Linked DNA regions of Drosophila melanogaster. The protein of the gene in region 4 interacts with the protein of the main gene of each other region in a pairwise test. Each region holds a gene or a part of one and is shown on either strand. Other genes may lie near its edges. The genes, in order: CG2017, Pdk1, CG6654 and l(3)neo38.

Evidence for each region.
Region 1: the proteins of l(3)neo38 (region 4) and CG2017 interact in a two-hybrid assay, tested with the Drosophila melanogaster proteins (one large-scale study listed by BioGRID).
Region 2: the proteins of l(3)neo38 (region 4) and Pdk1 interact in a two-hybrid assay, tested with the Drosophila melanogaster proteins (one large-scale study listed by BioGRID).
Region 3: the proteins of l(3)neo38 (region 4) and CG6654 interact in a two-hybrid assay, tested with the Drosophila melanogaster proteins (one large-scale study listed by BioGRID).

What each region holds. Positions count from the first base shown.
Region 1 is NT_033777.3:5,857,578-5,864,316, forward strand, and holds CG2017 (uncharacterized protein), read right to left. Parts: upstream 4,829-6,739; 5' UTR 4,701-4,828; coding exon 4,593-4,700; intron 4,326-4,592; exon of another isoform or gene 4,170-4,325; intron 3,728-4,169; exon of another isoform or gene 3,413-3,727; intron 2,828-3,412; coding exon 2,155-2,827; intron 1,944-2,154; coding exon 1,066-1,943; exon of another isoform or gene 1,008-1,065; coding exon 735-1,007; 3' UTR 506-734; downstream 1-505. Other genes in the region: ECSIT, read left to right, coding at 1-323.
Region 2 is NT_037436.4:127,529-132,488, reverse strand, and holds the start of Pdk1 (Phosphoinositide-dependent kinase 1), read right to left. Parts: upstream 3,040-4,960; 5' UTR 2,667-3,039; coding exon 2,601-2,666; intron 1,760-2,600; exon of another isoform or gene 918-1,759; intron 678-917; exon of another isoform or gene 1-677.
Region 3 is NT_033777.3:15,210,749-15,215,382, forward strand, and holds CG6654 (uncharacterized protein), read right to left. Parts: upstream 2,911-4,634; 5' UTR 2,838-2,910; coding exon 2,718-2,837; intron 2,653-2,717; coding exon 1,515-2,652; intron 1,460-1,514; coding exon 798-1,459; 3' UTR 529-797; downstream 1-528. Other genes in the region: Mau2 sister chromatid cohesion factor, read left to right, coding at 28-508; CG4210 (uncharacterized protein), read left to right, coding at 3,285-3,359, 3,422-3,473, 3,542-3,617, 3,678-3,999; SIDL (shal interactor of Di-Leucine motif), read right to left, coding at 4,113-4,342, 4,591-4,634.
Region 4 is NT_033777.3:11,776,079-11,780,704, forward strand, and holds the start of l(3)neo38 (lethal (3) neo38), read right to left. Parts: upstream 3,051-4,626; 5' UTR 2,904-3,050; exon of another isoform or gene 2,780-2,903; intron 2,544-2,779; 5' UTR 1,601-2,543; coding exon 1,396-1,600; intron 1-1,395.

The DNA.
Region 1 (6,739 bases), 5.9 Mb from region 4:
TCTCCCACATCGAAGTACCCTTCTTTGGTCGTGCTCCACCAAGGCGACACAACCAGCTGGGAAAGCTGCGCTCTGTCCACCAACAGGACGACGGAACCATTATGGCCATCTGTGCCACAGGCACCTCCACAAAGGACTCATTGCTCTCGTGGATTCGCCTGTTGGAAGCGAACGGAAATCCCTCCATAGGAGAGGTGCCCGTCCTCTTCCGGTTCACATCCGAAGTGCCAGCCAAGGCGGAGGAAATTGAAGGTGGCGCCAGTGTCCCGGCAACAAGTGATAACAGTAGTCAAGATGAGCACATTAGCAGTAGACAGAAATAAACAAATTGTTGAGCACTTTTTCGTCTTTGTATACCATAGAATTGATGGTAAATGTTGCTTAAAGTTAGTCGGTTTTGATCATATGTACATATATATGTACATCTGCTAGAAGGAAAAAAATTAATACTTCGGTAATTATTTATACTCTTTGGCTCGGACGCGAATTGAAAGCAACATTGTATGCATTTTGGGGTGGATTTTAATGAAATAAGGTTAATTGAGAAGGATTACTCACAACATCCGATTGTGAGCCGAGCTTAAACGAAAAATCACAGAACCCGAAACTAAGTGTACAGAAGATCTGCCTAAGATTTAACGCCTCCCTCTAATTGCTAATTAAGTATATGTACATGTCATCTTTGTTTGAGATATATAGATATGTCATTGGAACTATCCATCTGGCCCGCTTCTCTACTTTATGCCTGTCTTGTTGACCGGAAACACCTGCGTGACAACTCCGATTCCTTTGCTGGTGCCCTCGCGGAACAGGATGCGCATTCCAGGACGCACGTACTCCGGGTGGCCGACGAACTCGAACATCACCGAAGCACAATCGTTTGTGCCCAGTCGCTCGCCGCCCATAATGCCCCGAATGACGGCCGTCTGGCGAATGCTGCCTATGTGGACTGTGGTTTGGAAGCCGACATAGATGGCCGTGGCGTGGAACAGCACGGACACCTTGGCCTGCAAAGGGAAGTTGATGTATTTATTTGGTAACGATAAATGAAAACTAGCAACTCACTTGGAAGAAGAAGGTCCCGTAGGGCTCATCCAGACTATTTCCAATATCACCCAAAAGAACCATGCCACTTCGTAGCGTGGGCACATCCTGATCCATACTGAAAGACAGCGAAGCGCTCTGACCAGCTCGGACAACTCGGCAAGGAGCCTTGTTTCGGTGGATAGTATTAACAGTAACGGGATGAAAGCTACCATCGGGAAGCGGACCAATCTTCATTGCCATATTCTCGGTCAGCACGCCCTGGACAAGTAGACCGCCCACAACGGGTCCGACGTCAGAGACCCGGAAGATCTCGTCCACCTGGAACTCGCAAGACTCCTGCTCGAGTCGATCCTTCTCGGCGTTGCTGATTCCGGGCGAAAGGACGTACAGAAACTTTGTGACTAGGTTGAGTCCCGTGCCGGTCACATTCGATACGCAAAAGATGGGCACAATGTTCTCGGAGATCTGGTTTGACCCGGCGGAGATGGCCTCATCCGTGTTGGTCACCACAAAGGGAACCTTCCGGCACCCAATGGTGGTGAGCAGGTTGCACAACTCCTGTACCGTCGCGTCCGGCGATGTGATATCTGTCTTCGTGACCAATACAAAGAAGGGCATGTCCAGTGCCCGCACGATAGCCAAGTGCTCCTCGGTGGTGTCGTTGCAACCGCTGCCCGCCGATACCACCAGCATGGCGTAGTGGGGTGAGTATCCACTCAGTGCCTGCACGGTGGTGCGCATGTAGCGTCGGTGTCCGGCTAGATCCATGAAGGTAACCAGCTTGCTGGACCTGTCGCTAATCTCCTCTGCCGTCATCATCTCATTGTACTTGTAGTTGACCACATTACCCAGTGCATCGAAGCCAAGCGTCTCGTGGGAGATGCAGGAGGTGCGGCCTTAAGGAAAAGAGGAGCAAATTGGTAATTTTCAAGCAAACAAACCGGACTTTGTGAGTGATAAATATAATTTAAAAAAAAGTTTGTAAACGAGAGATGTATGAATAATGTAGTACAACTGATATATTCCTTATTGATGACAATTTAAAATGGATGCCAAACATCTTAATTTAATTTATATCTGTGTTTAGTGCTTATAACGACATATTACCAGACTGAATCTCGTGCATGTGCCTAAACATATTGAGCCGCGCCCGGCCGTGTCCGTTATCCAGCTCGTCCTGTGTAAGCACGCCCAGCAAAGTGGATTTGCCTGCATCAGCTCCGCCGAGCACCGCCACCCGAACCTCGATGTTGTGCTGGTCGTCGGGGATCTTACGGACCAGTACCTCGGCGACGGCGCGTCGGGCGGCGATGGTCTTTCGCCGCAGCACTGAGGTACTGGCTCCTAGGCTGTGGGCCATCTGCTTGAGCGTGGTGAGCGAGGCATTCATGTCCTTGTCGCTGAGTCCCTGCAGATAGCCGGCGTCGGATACTCCAATCTCGTAGATGGCCTCGCCGTTTCCCTCGCGCAGACGCCACTTCATCTGGGTCACCAGGTGCTCGAATCGCTGCTTCGACGGGTTGACCAGCTTCAGCTTGTACTCCACATTTCCGAGCTGCGGCTCTGGTGGCAGCATTCCCTGCTCGAAGTCGAAGATCAGGTTGCCCCGCTCGGTGGGCATCCCGCTCACTACGCTGCACTCGTTGGCATTGGCGTCCGTCTCATAGTCGCTGCTGCTGCTTCCGCCGCCGCTGCTGTTGCCATTGAGCTCGGGCTCTTCCTCGAAGCCGTCGTCCTGATTGGGATCAAAGAGACTCAGGAAGGACTCCATAATGTGTTGCTGCAAAAGGGAAGCGTGGATCATATAAATACAAAATTCAGATGAGGTAAATGGTAAAAATTCTGTTTAGACAAAGGAACTCTTTGTCTTGAGAAGAAAACATTTTTTGGGCCAATTGCGACATCGAAAATGTACATATGTACATACTTATGTACATACATACAGATTTTCGAACAGCCGTGGCTGAAATAATAGCAATGAGATACATGCATAAGTAAATATTATTTGATTTGTTTACTCATACTGTACTGTATTTAGTCTGAGAATTACCCAATATAATTGGGTTGAAATAACTTTTAATATTGTACTAAAGTTTTTTTAATTTTATTTCGACACCACGTCATTTGTTTCACTTTAAAAACAATTATTTTTCAACTTCTATGTATCTTTTTGATGGAACCGTTTGCTTATGTGTATCCATCAAAACTGAAATTTTCCCCATTTGTTTTTTTGGCCGTCTTTGACTTGCAGCGACCTTGAAAATGCTTGTTTATGTTTGCCACGACTCTGGCCGTTGTTTCGAGCCCACGCGCGGGGGCAGGTGGAACAGAAGGTCGATAATACGACAAGTTCCAAACATCTTACCAGATAATCCCTATATTTGGCTCACTAATCAAACCAATCCGCTCGAGTTTATTCGAGATATTAAGCGCTAAAGCAGCTCCTATTTGCGCGCGACGCTGGCACAAAATATCGATTTTGGCTGCGCTTTTCATTTGCCCAGGTCGAATTTGTTGTTCGTTCGGCTATCTGGGTTCTGAGTGCTGTGCTTTGTAGTTGTAGTTCGTAGTTGTGTGCGTACTTGTGCTCTCCGCTTTTGGGTGCCTTTCGATTTTGTTTATAACCTGCTCCCGATTGTTTTGCTTTGTTGACCGAAGAACAAGCACCTGAATACTTCAAAAGCTTTCGCAATACCTTACCCTAGGGCGTTTGAGTTCTTTCATGGAACGTATTTTTTGTTTAGCAAGTGGGGGTTGAGCTTAAAAAAATTAACTTAGTGAATTTCCACAAGAAGAAAGTTACCTAAATATTTAATGCGGGATGTTATTACGAACCTATTTAATTACTAAAGCTAACGATAAATGGTAAATTTATAGGTTTTAATTCTAATTACTTTATTTTTGCAATTAGAAGGCAGGATATACAATGTTTAATTACGTCACACGCCATTACGTCCTTCGACACTGGAACTATAAAAGTTAACTTTTTCACGATTTTGATGCGAAGCCGCGACGTTTGATAATTTTATTCAACAATTAATGCTTGGCTTTCCACAATTCAAACACACCTCTTTAGTTCTACGATTGTTGTTCAAATAAGGAAACTTAGTTTAAAAACGAACCTTCTTAATTGTGAGATAACTCCCACACAATTAAATTATTACGTTTTATGTAGATACGCAATCTGTGTTGCGTAGCGGATTTCTGATCGACCAGACCCTTTCCTTTTTCGGCGCGTAGTTTTGACAGCTTTTCGCGTCTTGTCCTCGCCGCGTTTGCTTCGCATTTGATTTTCTACACAAGCGCTTTTGTTTTGACCGCGTCAGCTGCGTTATTATTCTCTATCTCTATCTCGAAATTGATTGAGGACGCTTCGCGGAAAGCTCCTTTCCGTTTGAATTCCGGGAAGTAACTGTCGCGTTTACCGAATTCATGCAACCAACAAACAAAAGCTTGGCAAGCATAGAGCGGAATTTCACAAGAAACAAAAATCGCGCTGCGATTTCATCAGCAAAACAAAAATGGAGTCAATGTGCTGCACTTACGCAGTTGCTGATGCAATACTGCGCCACAATGCGCGGATCTTCAATGGTCTCTGTGTGGGTGTTGCTGTTCGTGTTCGATTCACGTTGCCATGGCAATTTTGCACTCATGTGGGTTAAGCACTCACAACACACTTCAAATTTCGGGGACGCCAAAGTTGCGCCAGCAATCCAATCAATTATTATAAACCATAAACTTCCTACATTTTGTGACTCCGACAAACAGATGTTTATGCTCGCCACGCGTTAGTCCCTTTTGGACACTGACCTATCCAGTTGCTGCGCACCCTTACCAACACTGGCTGACGGGGCGTCCATTGTGAACGGCACACATTTTTCAAATTTAAATAGTAACGTATTTTTAACAATAAATGGGGTTGCGAAGGCGGTCATCTGCATGTCCTACATTTCCATACTTTACTTTAGTACTTTAGTGTTGAGAATTCGTTTTGGTAAATTTTACTCAAATAAGTTTATTAGCCAGCATAGAACTTAATTCCAATCTCGATGGAGCTATCTTGCAAGCTCAAAAACATCTGCTTTGCTACAAAATAATTTTGTATTGGTATCAAAAAATCATTCAAATGAGTGAAGATATGGTAACGTTTTTAGATTGCTAAAAAAAGAATTTAGGAAACCTTGTGCCTCCCAGCAATGAAAATACAACTCGAATTGCTTTAATTCAAACTCAATGTATTCTCATTAATATATTTACGTTTTATTCCTTATCATTAACATTATTACTTTATCACAAATATTTTAAGCATTTTTACATATGTAGTCAGTTACAATGATGTGTATATGTATGTATGTCTGTCTGTTTTCGGGACTTGGGCTTGCATGTATGTATGTACATCGTTGACCTCTCTGAGGCTCATAAAATAGTATCTGCTGACCTCGACATGGATCATGGGGATGTCGTGATGCTACAGGTTGTTGGGGATCGTTTTAAAATTGCACTACTGGCACTCGATTTTGGTTATCTACAGCGGGGACCTTTACTATATATGTATAAACTTGGAGGAAGTTTACGATTTGCTCTACCAGTTACCTGGATGCTATAACTTTTACATTTAAACATTATGACATTACATTGATTTTACTAATCGCTATCGATGACTTAGCATATACATTTCTTTTTTTCAATTACGTTTTTTCGATAGAAAGTCAAGAACTGAATCGCCCAACTGATATGACAAACGTTAGAACACTTATAGTCGTTTAGCCCTTGTCTTGAGTATGATATAGTCGTATAGCATTTCCGATGTGCTAATGCCTTGATAACAATTGCCAATGAAAGGGGGATGATAGGGTGGTGGGGGGGTGGGGGCTACGCTCCCCTCTTGAACTGCCCCAATCCTGCGAGCTGGGCCGACCCATTCAATATCCAATAAATAATGCTCAAGAATACATTCGTTGTGTATGTGTGTGTGTGTGTGCGTGCTCAGGTCCAACTGGTTGGCGTTCGTCAATGAGGTGTCTGTCTGTCGGAATTGGCCGGAATCGGGCCCATCAAATGGCCATCTGGAAGTGGAACTCCGTGCCTTTTATCCCTCTTATCGCTCGACCCGCATAAATCATTTTATTAGCTTATTAAAAAGTTTTCCATTTATTGTCATCGTTTTGCGCTATCGTGCGCACAAATCCGTGCCCAGTTCTATATACCCATTCATTTGGGATGGGGTACTCCGGATTGGTGATTCGGCCGGCAGCATGGATTGGGATATTTTTCTAAACTTTTCTTTATTGCTCACTTGTTGGCTGGCCCCGCTGCTAATGCCAGTGGAGCCGGAGCGGTAGCGGGAGCGGGAGCAACTGCTGTGACCATTAAATTCAAATCTGGTGCTGTTTTTGGCGCGTGTTTAAAAGTTAAATAATGACCAGCACTGGGCACGCAATGGCGCAAGACGTGTCCAATATAACTTTGCCTTTTTTCGGGTCGGCCCGACTTTGATCTCGTTTGCGGGAGGGCAGTTCAAATAGTGCGTCTGCGGCAGGAGGGGCTATGTTTTCCGGGGGATGTGTTCTTCTCACTTTAGCCGGGACAAACAGATTCAACAACGAGTTTCGAGTTGGAGAGCCCTGCTCCCAGCCACTCGGCCTCGCAATGGGTACAGGTCGTGGAAGATTAGTTTCACCTTGGGGGTCGC
Region 2 (4,960 bases), on a different chromosome or scaffold from region 4:
TTGTAATTTCGATTTGGGGTACAAATTCCAATGGGCACACGAATGAAGAAGAAGAGCCAGCCACCGCGTACACGCACACACTGTACAGAGCGAGCGCGCGTATTTTTTCGACTCTGCGCGTGCCTGTGTATATGTATGTGTGCGGCTTTAATTTTATTTAATTCTTAGCTTTGATTCTTAACATTCGTATTGTGCTTCCCTTGATTTGCACAATTATGAAACCGCCGCAGTATGTTTCTCGAAACAAATCACAAAAGTTCGCCAGAAACAACAATAATCAAGACAATAATTCCGACGCAGTAGGAAAATTTATAAGAAACGAGACGCTGTATGTGTCTGTTATTTTTTATGCCCTCTTATTTTTCTAGGAACTGGCTCACACTCATACGTTGTACTACATTAATTTGACTAATGAAAACAATCGGTTAAATACTTTGAACACAACACGGAGGGAGAATACACTTATTTTTATTCCGATTTAGATTTTATGTAATTTATTTGGCCTTTTGTGGAGTATTATTTAATCGCACCACTACAGCACTACATCACACGAACTTGGGGCGTCGTGTATTTGCCTGTGTATGTATATCAATGCCAGCGCGCTATGGGTGTGTGTGTGTGCGTAGTCGAACGCCGCGTGCACGAAGCGACTGGTTTGAAATCCAATAAGAAACTATGGTCGGGCGAGACTTTGACTTCCAAGCATTTGGCTCGAGCAGCGAAACCGATGGGAGACGAGCGCCACCCGAGAGAACTCTCTTTGGCGTTGCCGCCCCCGCCAAGCTAACCCTCGGCGCTCTCAGTTAAATGGGGCCAAAGCAGCGCAGTCGTGTCGCCGCTGGCGTCACAATTTTTTTTACAAGGCGAACAAGTTGCGCGCCACTTTTGAGAGCGTAATTGTTGCACTGTAATTGTTTGCCAGTGACTTTTTATAAATAAACACGACGGGGCAAAGCGAAAACAAGTTTCAGTCGAAATCCACACAACTACATAAGGCCAAAGAGAGCGCACGCTCTTTTTGAAGAGAGAGAGTGAGAGAGAGAGAGAGAGAGAGAGAGAGAGGGGAGACGACCGCATTCCTAACTGTAAACAAGCAAGAAGCGGAGACACTATAAAAGTGGGAAAGAGACAAGGCGACAGGCTAAGAATGCGGCGCTGCTGGAAAAACTCGTTTTTCCCGCTGGAAAAGGAAAATATGGATAAAAAAGAATTCGAGGAATTTTCGTGCGAAAGAGAAAGAGAAGTGGTGTAAAAATAAACAAGAATCCGAACCCGATTACGAATACATACACAGGGCAACGAAGGAAGAGAATTGGAATAGCTGAAAAACAGAGCGGACAAAACAAAATGCTTGAAAAGCGAAGGGGCAGCTCAAAGCGGACAAGCTGATACGTAGTAAAACATACCAACGACGGCAACTTCAAATGTAAATAAGTATATAAACGAGGTATGTAAGCGGATGAGTGTGTGCAACAACAACAGTAAACCTAATGACAACAAACCGAGCAACAGACATGCAAGTGAAAGGCCTTTGCGTTGTTTCCCATCCACTACTCAAGTTATTTGCAAAATAAAAACAGCTAAAAGAAGACAAAGTGATGAACTCGGATCGGGAGAGAGAGGGGCATAATTTTACTTTTGGCTGCTTGCAAGAGAAAATAAAATAAATAATTCATTTATTGGTTGCTGCTAATAGATAGCAATTAAAAGTAAAAGAAACCACAATAAATTGTTGTTTAGAAACCAGCTGGAATCATTGTGTTTTTTTGCTGTGAATTTTTGTTGTTGTTTTTAAAGTATCAAGCAATTTGCGAGGCAATGAACTGCAGTTGTTAAATAAATTTAGTCAACCCCTGCGGCTTCATTAAACTTTTTTATGCATTTTATTTTCGTTGTCGGGTGCCTGCAAAATAATTATACACATCCACTGCCTATTTATGTCGAGTAATATAAGCATCTGAAAATGTATTCATAATCAACTCCATCTAGATAGCTTTTAAAGTGGTTGTTATACAGACAGTCGTTGAATTATCTTATTTTATTGCCCACTTAGTGAGGAGTTTATGGCTTTGATCTTTATATATTATACCAGCATGTGTTGTCAATGGAAATTTTTTAGATGAAATGTACGGAAATATTTAAATTTATTGGTAACAAGAATTGCAAAAAGTAAAAATACTTTTTTTTTTTGCTATATAGCTCAAACATTAAATTTCACAGCTTTATGAGTATTTCATTATTTCATGTCAATAAATTATTTTGCAGCTTTTGTATTTTGTAAACAAAAATTTGTACAACCAATTCAATTTTTTTTTCCAAGAACAATTTTGTGTAATTTAACGATAAAATTGATGGGAGGTATTTTCTCGAAAGCATTACTTGTAGTTTGTAAAAAAAGTTTTACTAAATTATTTTAATTAAAAACAACTTTAACAAATTGTACTTTCGCATTACCCCATATCTATGCTATAAACTTATTTTTTAACACCTTAACAAGTCTCATAAGCCTCATAAGATATATTCACTTAATCAAAATTTAAATAAATATAAGTATATATGTATCAGGGCCAAACACCGCACCTTTTTAAGACACTATTTACCTTGATAGACTTTATTTTGCGCACAACGTAGTTGTTAATTTTGTTGGACCAGCTTTTACATTTCATGATATTTTTCGCGTTCTCCGCCGTTCTCGGGGAGGATGAAGAGGCAAAGACAACGGTAAACGGATTGCTTTCGTCACTTGAAGTTGCTGCCCTCACTCATTTCAGTTTCATTTCGTTTTACCGGTTTTTGTAATATTTTTTTATTTGCTTCACTTTGCGATATTTATTCACTTGAGTTTTCACCGCCCGGCGACAGTTGCAAAACCTTTGTGATTGCAAATGGTAATTATACGTATACACGAAGACTCGGGTCTTACTCGCATTTCTTTTTGGCGCGATAAAAGGAAAATTGGACGTTGTGGTTTTTCCAACAGGGCGTCAAATTTGTATCCGTGATTACGACCGAACCCGTCAAATTTCCGATTCGAAATGAGTCGAAAAGGCGAAAGAAAAGGCAAGGAGAGCGCGCTAAACTGGGAACGGCGGCATTGGGCCACAGTTACCAAATCGTGAGCGCGGAGAACTGGAAGAGAGATAGAGAGTTATGGGGTAAAAAAGAGTGCGGAGAAGTGTAAGAATTTTCATTTGAGTTTTAATCGACACATGAATAATGGGAAAATTATGTTATTTTTTATTAAGTTAGCTTTAAATTTATATTTTTGTATTCTTTTTTAAATAATTAGTTTTTAACGGGTTTTGTTTGTTTTTCTTTGATTTTGCGTATATATTGCATCTGTTGAAACACGTTATTGTCACCCTAATGTTGGATAGCTATTAAATTTGGGTATTTCTGGAACTTTCTTGAATTATTTGCAGGTCTTTCGAAAAAACAGTTATGCATATCCTATTCATTTCACCGATTTGCAAGTCACGGTTCCGTTATTGCCGCGAGTGGGCAAGCTATTTGCGTTTTCTTTTACATTTCGAATGCGCCGCCCATTAATTATTTATTTATTAATGAGTAAGTGACGCACTTGTTTTCATCCACTTATTTGTTGTTACTGCAACGAATCTTGCTTACATTTACATACATACATACATAGGTACATAATTCCATCAAGATCATGCATCAGTGCCACGCCCCCATCTATAAAATGAAATTGTGGACAACGTCGCTGTCGTAAACTTCCAAGGCAATTATGTATGTATGTATGTGTACAAATGTGCATTTTCTGGAATTTAAACTATTCCCGCTCTCTTCGCGCACGGATCGTTCGTTGATCCGCACTCTGGGTTCCACATTAGCATAAGTGTAAGGCCTTCTACACAAACGCGTTCCACAATTCATTCACATCGCCTGTTCCACAACTTTCCGGCGTTCCGTCACGTTCGCGCGCCTTTTCCACCCAGCGTGAAAAAATTCACTTGCTGCTCCCGCTCCCGCTCACGGTTTTATTCTCGTTTTTACGTTTTACTACGAAGCGAAAACAAAACAAAATTAAGGGGAAGCGGAAACTGCAGTTGCTTTGGCTTTGCTGACGTGGATGCCGACGCTTTCGTCATCAAGTTTTTCTCTCACTTTGTTTTTTTTTCTCTTTAAGAAATATTGTAAATATTAGTTCTGTTCCTGTTATGGTTTTTTATCTTGTTAAGAAATATTGTAAATATTAGTTCTATTCCTGTTATTTTCTATATTTGGTTGAGTTTCCATTTATGTATTATTTAAATTTCCTAGCTTAATTTGTTTAAAGACTTACTTGTGAATTGCTGCGTAGTTTAAATAACACAGTTTAATAAACACATTTAATATTCAAAGACCTTATCAATTAGCAATATAAGTAATATTTCTTTAGTTTTTGTGTACTTGTGATAAGCACTCATTCAAACTGAACGGCGTTTAGGCTCAAATAAATCTATGAAAATTACAATTCGTCTTCATCGAATGAACTTTGACTGCATATTTTAGAAATGGTCGCGAATTTTCTTCTTACCTATTTTATTTTATATAATAATCAAATTCAATTTAATTTGTCTCACCCTTAGCGAGTTCGGTGGCTTAGTTAAAATCGTTTTTATTTGGCCTCTGCTTTTAGCATTTTGTGGCTAATTTATTTCTTGCTTTCTGCTAAAAAATATTTGAAATTAGCATTTTTAATGGGCAGCAATCGAGGTTCGGCGAGACACAATGTCGCCTGAAAAATATTTTTAAAATCCCATTTGCATATATTTTCAGCCAAGCGCTTAGTATAAAAAGCTAATTTCACGAAATCCCAGCTGATTTAGTCATCAACGGTGGGCTGTGCACCAGTTTCTTTCTAATTGCTGGACTTCCCCCCGCTTGGAAGCTAAGCTTGGCAGACGAACCGGTTCGGAACCCTCGGAGCTCTCATTTAGTTGCCCATTATTAAACCCGT
Region 3 (4,634 bases), 3.4 Mb from region 4:
TAAACTGATAATCTTTATTCTTTTCAGACGCTTTCTGCGTGAAACTCTGAAAATGGCCAACGCCGAAGACCTCAACCGACTGACCAGCTGCTCGTTGGTTTTGCTATCGCACGTCTTTCTCAGCATCGGAAACTCAAAGGAAAGCATGAACATGGTGACGCCGGCCATGCAACTGGCCAGTAAGATACCCGACATCCACGTCCAGCTGTGGGGATCGGCAATACTAAAGGACCTGCATCGTATGTCAAAGGATGTGCAGCATGAAAAAGATGCTTATGCTAACCACGTTAAATACTCGGAGAACCTGATTGCAGACCAGCGCAAGTGCGTCCAAAGTGCGCATCACGAACTCGTCAACTGGTTCCAGGGCGATCCGCCAGTGACGAGTGGTCCGCCGGCTGCTCCCGTCCTGCTCATGCCAGAGTCCTCCGTTACAGCCTCAGTCCCCGTCATCGCCTCCACATCGACAGCCATGCAGCCGGCGGGGCAATACGGTCAGTTCTACTAGCAATGAGATGATTATGCAATGTAACTTTAAGCTTTTATTTTTATCTACGACCTAGCGACTAAGTTAAGACTAAAGATGTTCTAAAGTTGTGAATTTTGTCATAAACTGTGTTCCCGAGGGAAAGAGTAGACGGAAATGTAAAGCGGATGAGTTGTGCGCATTTGAGTTGGGTCGTTCAACTTAGGATTATAATCATTATTACAATTAAAAGTAAGGATCCGTCTTGGGTATTAGGCAAACTCAACCACCTTTACAAAAGCCGCCTTGCTTGCACAGCTTCTACATTGATTTATAGCATAAGCGCAGACTCGGTCATCTCGTTAAGTTCCTCTTCAAGGGCCCCGCTTCCGTTTTCCTTGTTGCTTAGAAATGTGAAGTGCACCAGGCGTTTGTCGTGCTGCTCGTGGCCGGCCAGATGTGATCGCATCTCGGGCATCGACTTGAACTCCTCATTGCACACCGGACAAATGTAGATCCGCTCGCCCTGATGTGTACGCTGGTGCATCTGGCAGTCACCCCGCTGCGTAAAGGTCTTCGAGCAGAAGGGACAGACGTACGGCCGCTCACCTGTGTGCGTCCTTCGGTGGTTCTTTAGCACATTGAGGGCAGTGAATCTCATGGGGCAGAGATCGCAGGCGTATGGCCGTTCGCCAGTGTGCTTTCGTTTGTGCTTGGCCAGGGAGCAACTAGTGGTGAATCTGGCCAAGCACACCTCACACTCGAAGGGCTTGTCGCCGGTGTGGGTGCGTGCATGAGAGGTGAGTTCCGCCTTGGTAACAAACGAGTGCGGGCACAGCTCGCACTTGAAACTCTTTGTCTCCGAGTGACGCAGCTTGTGCTGGCGCAGATTGGCATTCTGTGTAAAGCTCTTGCCACAGATATTGCACACAAAGGGTTTCTCGCCGGTGTGGATGCGCATGTGGTCACGCAGCGTGGACAGCATGGTGAATACTACAATATTAAGAGACAATTAAATAGGATTTTCGACCACTCTTTGTTATCTTACCTTTCTGACAGATATTGCACTGATTCCGCAGATTCCGCTTGTGGCCCTGCACCATGTGCTTGCTAAGTGCCTCCTTGGAATCACAGCGTATTCCACACTCCGGGCAATTGTGGGCACCATGACTGGCCTGGTGTTCCGCCAAGTGATCCGGCGACACGAAGACCTTTTCGCACTCATTGCACTTGTAGTTGCGATTAATGCAGCCCTTTTGGCGTCTGTGGATCATCAACGATTTCTCCACCGCGAATCCCGCATTGCAACGATCACAGTGATATTTGAGCTCAGGGGTAGTAGCTGCTCCTGACGTTGTGCTTGGCCCGTTTACTGTTCCCGCTCTTGGCGCGCTGAGTTTTCGCTGTGTTCCTAACCGATGCTGTTTGGGGGAAGGCTCTGCATCTGACGGCGGTGTAGCCGGTACATCCTGCTTGACAACTCCGCGACGCCGTGAGGTGCGCTTAGCCGACTGAGGTACTTGTTCCTTCTCTAATTCGCGTGCTTCCTCCTTAGAACCCACAGGAGTCTGATGCTTATCGTTTTCCTGCTGCGTTAGAAGCTTGGCAGCGCTCTTTCTGGTGGTTACCTGCGGAGCGGTTACTGTGATGATCTCCGCCTCGTTATCGACACCTTCGAAGATGGCCAGGTTACATTCCCTGATCTGCTGTTCCAGCTCGTGGTCGTCGCCTTCGTAAATAACATTGGTTTGGGTAAACACAACTTCCTTTTCGTCCTTCAAGTTCCCCTGGACCTGCAGGATGAGGCTGGTGGTCTTTTCGACGGGCTCATCCGGCAGCTCGTAATCGAATACCTCGCCCTCGCCTTCGTAGTCCAGGTCCACTGAAATCGTTGACTTAATCAGGCTGGTATTCTGTTCGGCGTCTGTGGTAGTCACTGCGTCCGTTTGCACGGAGGCTGTGCATCTGTCCGGCTCCCAGCTAGTGGTCTGCACAGCCTGGTCCGTCGTGGCCACTGGACAACTGATAGACACCTTGCTATCGGGCTCCTCCGGCAACGCATTCGGCAGCAATTGGCGCAGGGTGCGACTGGAGTTCTCGCACTTGATCTTGAAGGTATAGCAATTGGAGATTTCACTCAAACAGCTTAGGCACACCTTCTCGGGCAGATTATCGTTGCGGCGGGGCTTGAAAACGCGAATTAAATCGAGATTAACATGGAAATCAGGATCACTCGGCGAAGGCAACTCACCTTGGTTTTTGTGAACTCCCGGATCATGTCCGCCAGGCAGCTGCCGGATCCGCCGTCGTAGATGGACAGGAGTGGTCCCGTGGAACTCAGGCAGGTAAGACAGATCTTGTCCACATCCATTTCGCGACGCAATCGGTCAAATGCAGAAACAAAATAAAACAATTAAATAAATGCAGTATGGCTGAAGTTTGTTACGCTGAATATACCGATGCATTTCAAGTGCACCTGGTCACACCTTTAATGCTGTTGGCGGCCTTCGCGCAATTCAAAAAATAATTCTAATGAGTAAAGAAGAGTATTAAATAATCTAATTTTATGGCGATAAGTGCATTGAAATAAAATTATTTCAAATGTGAATCGTATATATACAAGAATCTGGGCTTATTCTTGTTTCATCTAATTTTTTTACTTATTAACAACAAATAATTCTTTTCCCAATCGATATTGAGTTATATTAAATTGTGATCACGAGAGTTCGGCTCATCTCTATAGATTAGAATTGTTTCGACAAAAGATAAGCTCTTTTGACCATAATCAGAAAAACACAGGTTATAAAGATTTCCCACTATGTCGAAATCCGGAGAGTTTACATTCCGGCGTGCTCTAGCTGAAGATATTAAAGATGTGCTCTCCATGATTCAAGTTGAGTTTTATAAGATTCCTATTTTAATACCAATTTGAGATACTTTTGAATTGATCTGCAGGAACTGGCTGACTTTGAGAAGATGAGCAATGGTCCCCAGCTAACAGAGGAAGGTAAGAGATGGCGAAACCCTTACCATAGTAATGAAATAATGGTAAAGTAATGGATTGTAATATGACAGATCTTAAACGAGACGCAGGACTCACTGGTGGCCAGGAGTATTGTGAAGTCTATGTGCTTGTAGACAACGATACTGAGTAAGTGCTGTAGTTCTTGGCATGACCTGATTAACTTGTGGGCTTGTTCTCCTATTCTAGTCAGGCGATTGGGTACTCCATTTGCTACAAGGCATACTCAACGTGGCAGGGACGGTACTTCTTCGTCGAGGACATCTATGTCCGCCCCGAGCACCGTAAACGCGGCGCCGGAAAGCGAATCTTCTTGGAGGTTGCATCGCGGGCTGTAGAGCTTCAGTGCCCTCGCCTGGAGTTTAATGTACTGGAATGGAATCCTGCACGCAAGTTCTACGAAAGTCTTGGTGCCGTGGATTTGACAGATAAAGAGGGCTGGCACTACTACCGCGTGGAGGAGCAACAACTGGCCAAATTGGCCGCGGATCTGAGGGCAAAAAAATCTTAACTTGATTTGATTTTCAATTTTTACTACTTTATAGTAGGGCGATAAATAATTAATAATACTTGGCCATGGGCCATATGTGCTATGAGTACATTGCAATTAATTCGTTTGGCTTCTCATTGATCCCCCGCCACACTTGCGATGACATGGATCTGCATGCTCTTCGTGGAGTTGTAGACTTGACCGGGCGGAAAGGGATGCACCTTGGAGTGGCCATCGGTTTTACTTTTGCCACCGGCAGTATACTTGGATAATCGAATGCTGGGCATTGGTAGAAAGCCGGTGCTCAGCGGCATTACATCCAGCGATATGGAATGACTGTCGACGTCCTTCATGGATACGACACCTAAAAGGTTAAGTAAAAATTAGTTAGTCAACAAGTACAGACTGTTGGTTCATCGAAGTAAGCCAATTTTCTTTTTCAGTGTTAAATGTTTCCAATCAAAAGCAAGGGCAAATCTAGTTAGTGCTACGTGTGTCCTATTCCAAGGAACTTACCCATATCTTAAAATGCAAAAGTGAATCGTGTGTAGAGAAACAGAATTAAATCATAAGCAAAGAAAGAGAGAGAGTAGTAAAGAGAATCCAACTTACCCGCTGAGCGACCGCAAACGGCCCACAGATTCTGATCGTTGAGC
Region 4 (4,626 bases):
ACATACTCTCGCCCAACACACATACGTATATGCATTTAATTGTATTTCTATGTATGTGCTTAAGTAGCTGAAGAGAGCGGTGAAACCCACCCCTACAAAAAAACAAAGTGAAATGCAGCAAATTCAAAAGTTATTTGAGTTCATTGCATTTTCAAGCCACGCAAAACAACAACAGCCATAGCTTACACTCACACACACACAGGTTACACCCACTTGGGGGTGGGTGGTAATGACTCAAAACATAGAGCGGAATATTCGTATAAAAAGAGCGCAAAACAAAAACAACGACGAAAAAATCGTTAAATTCTGCTTTGATGACAGGGTATACTCGTACTCGTACTAAGTCGCTCCAACCCGCCAACCAACCCCCAAAAAATTGTAGTGCGGTTTACAAATTGCCTGAAGAAGATGTCTTTGCTAGCCAGAAAGCGAGAATTTCGTAGATGGGGGTGGAAAACCCGCTTACACTCACACATGTCTTTATGCGAATGTCAGTAAGTAGATCCAGATGGAAGCCACCTTTCGCTGGGAATTCAAGGAAAGTATTGTTCGAGTTTCAAGTGGGACTTTTTTTTTAGCTGAGTATTGGAAACGAAATTTTAACTAAGCTTCAGAGAATTGAAACTATTGAGAATTATTCATAGGATTGTCATAAGGTCCTACGATTTGTTTGAAGCAAAGTATGCTAAACAGAAGGTCAAATCAAACTTTATGTTGAGATCAATAAACCTCTTTGTTCGTGAACTCCAGAATATTATTGTAAAATAATACAGCTATAAGCAATTTGTATTAATTTCATTTAAATATTTTTGCTTACTCTACTTGCTTTTTCCTGCCGTCATGAATACTAAAATATGAACCAATTGGACAATCAAGAGGTGTTATTCACCGAAATTAGAGGTTGTATATTTTTTACGTTTTACTATTCTCATTTATGATGATCTTAATCATAAGTTATTGCAAGAAGTACCCGTTAGTTTTTGATGACTATCAGCAGCCCGTTTAGTTTATTTTTGAAAAAGAAGGCTATCCAGAAGTTGCCATTCCAACAAGAGTAGTGCCCTTTGCCCCAAAACAAGACCCTCTGTGTGTAGGGCATTAGGCGAGGCAGTAGCCGACCCCCTCTGCCACTGCCTCTGTCAACGACTCTGTCTCCCCACCACCACCGCCACTGTCGCTGCTCGAGTGAGAGTGTATACCCCCTGACGCTTTGACGCCGGCGTCGCTGCCCGCAGCGGGCGAAAATAAATCGATAAAAATAAAATAAATTTTTAGTGATTATGTTATACAGACACATGTGCCTGCATGTGCATTGCAGGCGATTGTCTGTCCGTATGTGTAGCCACATTGTAAATGTTGTATAGTATAGTGTAGTGGTGGGGCAGATGCACTTACCGTTGGGCACATTCTGATTAAAGTGATTGCCATTGGTCTGATATCGCTGCACATGGTTATCGGTGCCGGCCGCTGCCGCTGCGGCTGCTGCATTCGCGGCAGCCGCGGGGGGCGTGCCGAAGGCGCCCGGCGTCTGGGCGTCGAATTTAGCGGCAAATTGGTGGATGCCGGAGAAGGGGCCGCCGAACGCGGAGAAGTTCATCATGTCAGGATCGGGATGATCGGCGGGGTAATGGATAGTAGTTCTAGGGCCTCGAGGGGCCCTTTTGGTTTAAGCAAGACAATCTTTCGAATCGCTTTAGCACTAAAACTCGATCGGTCGCTAATATTACTTGCAATTCTATTTCTTTTCTTTTTTGTAATTATTTTCTGCACAACGCGAAACGATGACGAAGTGTTGTAGTGGGTGGTGGCGGTAATGGTAATGATGGTGGTGGTGCGCTGGTTGTGTGCCTTCTGTTGTTGTTTTCCTGTTCTCCGCCGTCGCTGGTGGGGGTTGGTTTTCTTTTCTTTGCCTCCTTTCCCCTGGTCGCACTCATACACTAGCACTCACACAGAGGCACATAGACACACGTACGCGCTTACGAGCGCACAGTTTTATGCTGTGCTTTGCTTTTTCGGGGGTAGAAAAGCAGAAAAGCGGGCCCAAACACAACACGTACACACACACACACACTAGCTCGCACACGCGGAGAACCACTTTCGGTTTCGATTTTGATTCTCGATTCCGCTGGATTCTGATTCCGATTCTGCTTCTGCTTCGCCTCAGCTCGAACTAAGCACGCACACACAACCGGCGGAACGGAGCGGAATCGCACTAAAGTCTCGCTTACGATTTCGCTTACGACCGGCTCGTCGAGGCTCCGACATCAAACTAAAAGTAACATTACAACGAGGCGAAAGAAAGCGGAAACACTGGGCCAGGCAAAGCGACGCGGACGCGGACGGCGGCAGCGCTGCGACGCAAATGACAGTGACAGTGCCCAGAGGCACGCTGGGTATATCGGTTGGGAGGTATTCGCACCCCTTTTCCTCGCTTATGGTTTAGATGGTTTTTAGTTTTTATATTTCGTTAGAGGGCTAATGGCACTCGTTTTCATCCAATCTCTCATGGTTACCTTTATCGGTAGTTTAGATGGGTATTTTACCTATAAGTTGATCGTTTAATTAGTTTTTCAAATTATTTAATACATATAATAAATAGAATGTTTTTAAATCAACCGATTGCTAATGATAATTTTACACCCCTTTTAGCGCTCCTCTTGTTAAATATATTTTTTTTAATTATTCCCAAGATCATGTTAAGCATTGGCAATGACCCCCCGCATTTACTGGGTAGCAACTATTCGTCTACCAACCAATTGCACGACTGCAGCATTCTTACATGTCTGTATTAGTTCGCTGTGTGTTTGTACGACTGTCTGTATGTTTGTGCGCTGTGTGCCGCTTTGAGGGTGGAAGTTTTTCTACTTCTCTGGAAAATGCGCGTTTATTTGAACGTTCCTTACATTTCGCTGCACCGAGTGTCGGGCATATGACACTGGTCCCAGGCCCCTGCTCCCGAAATTGGCTTGGTCACTTGGCCAGATTGCTGGGCAGAATATTCATGCGCGATCCGTGCAGGCGAAGTGCAATTTATGCTGGGACTGAAGCCGATACCGAGCTGATCCGAACCTCATAGCCAGACACGCAGTGAGACGAGCCACGAAATTCGCTGTAAGTTATCAGGATGAAAACCGGTTGGGAGCGAAGCATAAAAACTGGTTTCCAGCGAGAGATGAGCTACTTTTTGTGACCGCCGTCGAGGCAACAACAAATGTATTGACAACGTCGACCAGGATGACTTTTTGAATATCTGGATTTGGTTTAGGCACAGCAGAAAGGGCCATTAAGATTGCATTTATGTATTTTAATGGTAGGGAATAAATTTATTTGCATAACAAAATTCTGGATCTTGATCACTTTGGATGCCCTAAACTACTAAAACTACTATTGTAGTTCTTTGGAGGGTAAAAGGATAACCTGCTTTTAATATATTTCCTGATAATGGCTACCTTGTTGAAGAACATTTTTTAAAAATATTACATTATATCTGGGTTTGAATATAGCCTTTAGGACTCGAAACAATCATAATGAAATTTCTTATTAACTTGCAAAAAGGGTACTCATAGATCGACGTAGAGTGTCCACAAGAAAAACGCACATACAATGCGCCTTGTATTTTTATTTGGTTTTCCAACTTTTTGGGGTTGTGTGGTATGGCTGTGCACTTATACGTTTACATGTGAATATGTCAGTTTGTAGCGGCGTATGTACGATGTGTTTTCAAGTATCTATGTTTGGCTATATGCTTGTGTGCATGTATCTGGATCTGTTTGCCCACGGACATGTGTAGACGAAGGGAAAGGAGAGGCCGAGAGAGCAGAGCGTTCTCGAGCGCATTGCTCTCGTTGCATTCAATTCTGCCTCTGCTGTATGTTGTATTAATGAAAGTGAGTCCAGCGGCGAAAGAAAGCAGGCCGTGGAACTAAGACAAGTTCTTTTTTTGATTCCGCTTCTGCCTCTGTTCTCCTGCCTTCTTGCAAGTGTTTTCATGTTTTCCAAACCCACATCTAGGGGTTCGAGATCGGTAAAATAACTCCCCCTAGGAGTTTCGACCCATTTTCAATTAGTGATCCCTCTTCATTATGAATTTTGATGACAGATAAATACTTGTATGTACATACATATATATGTACATACATATATACCCCCATTTACATAAGCTTAATTAACGGAAATATTTCTATAACCTAGAGATATAATAATATGCGTATGACTTCTTTTTTTAATAAATTTAAGCAATCTCTATTTATAATATTAACATTATTAAGTAACAAAATAAATGCGCAGGAGACCGGCAAGTCGATTCGACTGCACCTTAATTTTTATGTGTTAATTCACATATACACGTGCACTTGCATAAGCGCCTGTGTGTGCATGTCTGTATGTCTTTTCTCATTCTTGTTTTTTCCTGTTGCAGTCTTGTCTTCTACTCGTTTAATACAGAGGGTTGGAGTTTTTTACGTTCTCTCACATTCTCCTTGTTTCGTCTCTCACTCACTTGCTCGTTCTCTCGTCTTCTCTCTTTCTGCCGCGCTTGAATCTTTGAATGCAATGCTTTGTTTAGCTTGATTTTCGAGCAATTGCAACTGTTACATGTGTTATCTAGAGTTTATATGCACATTTTCC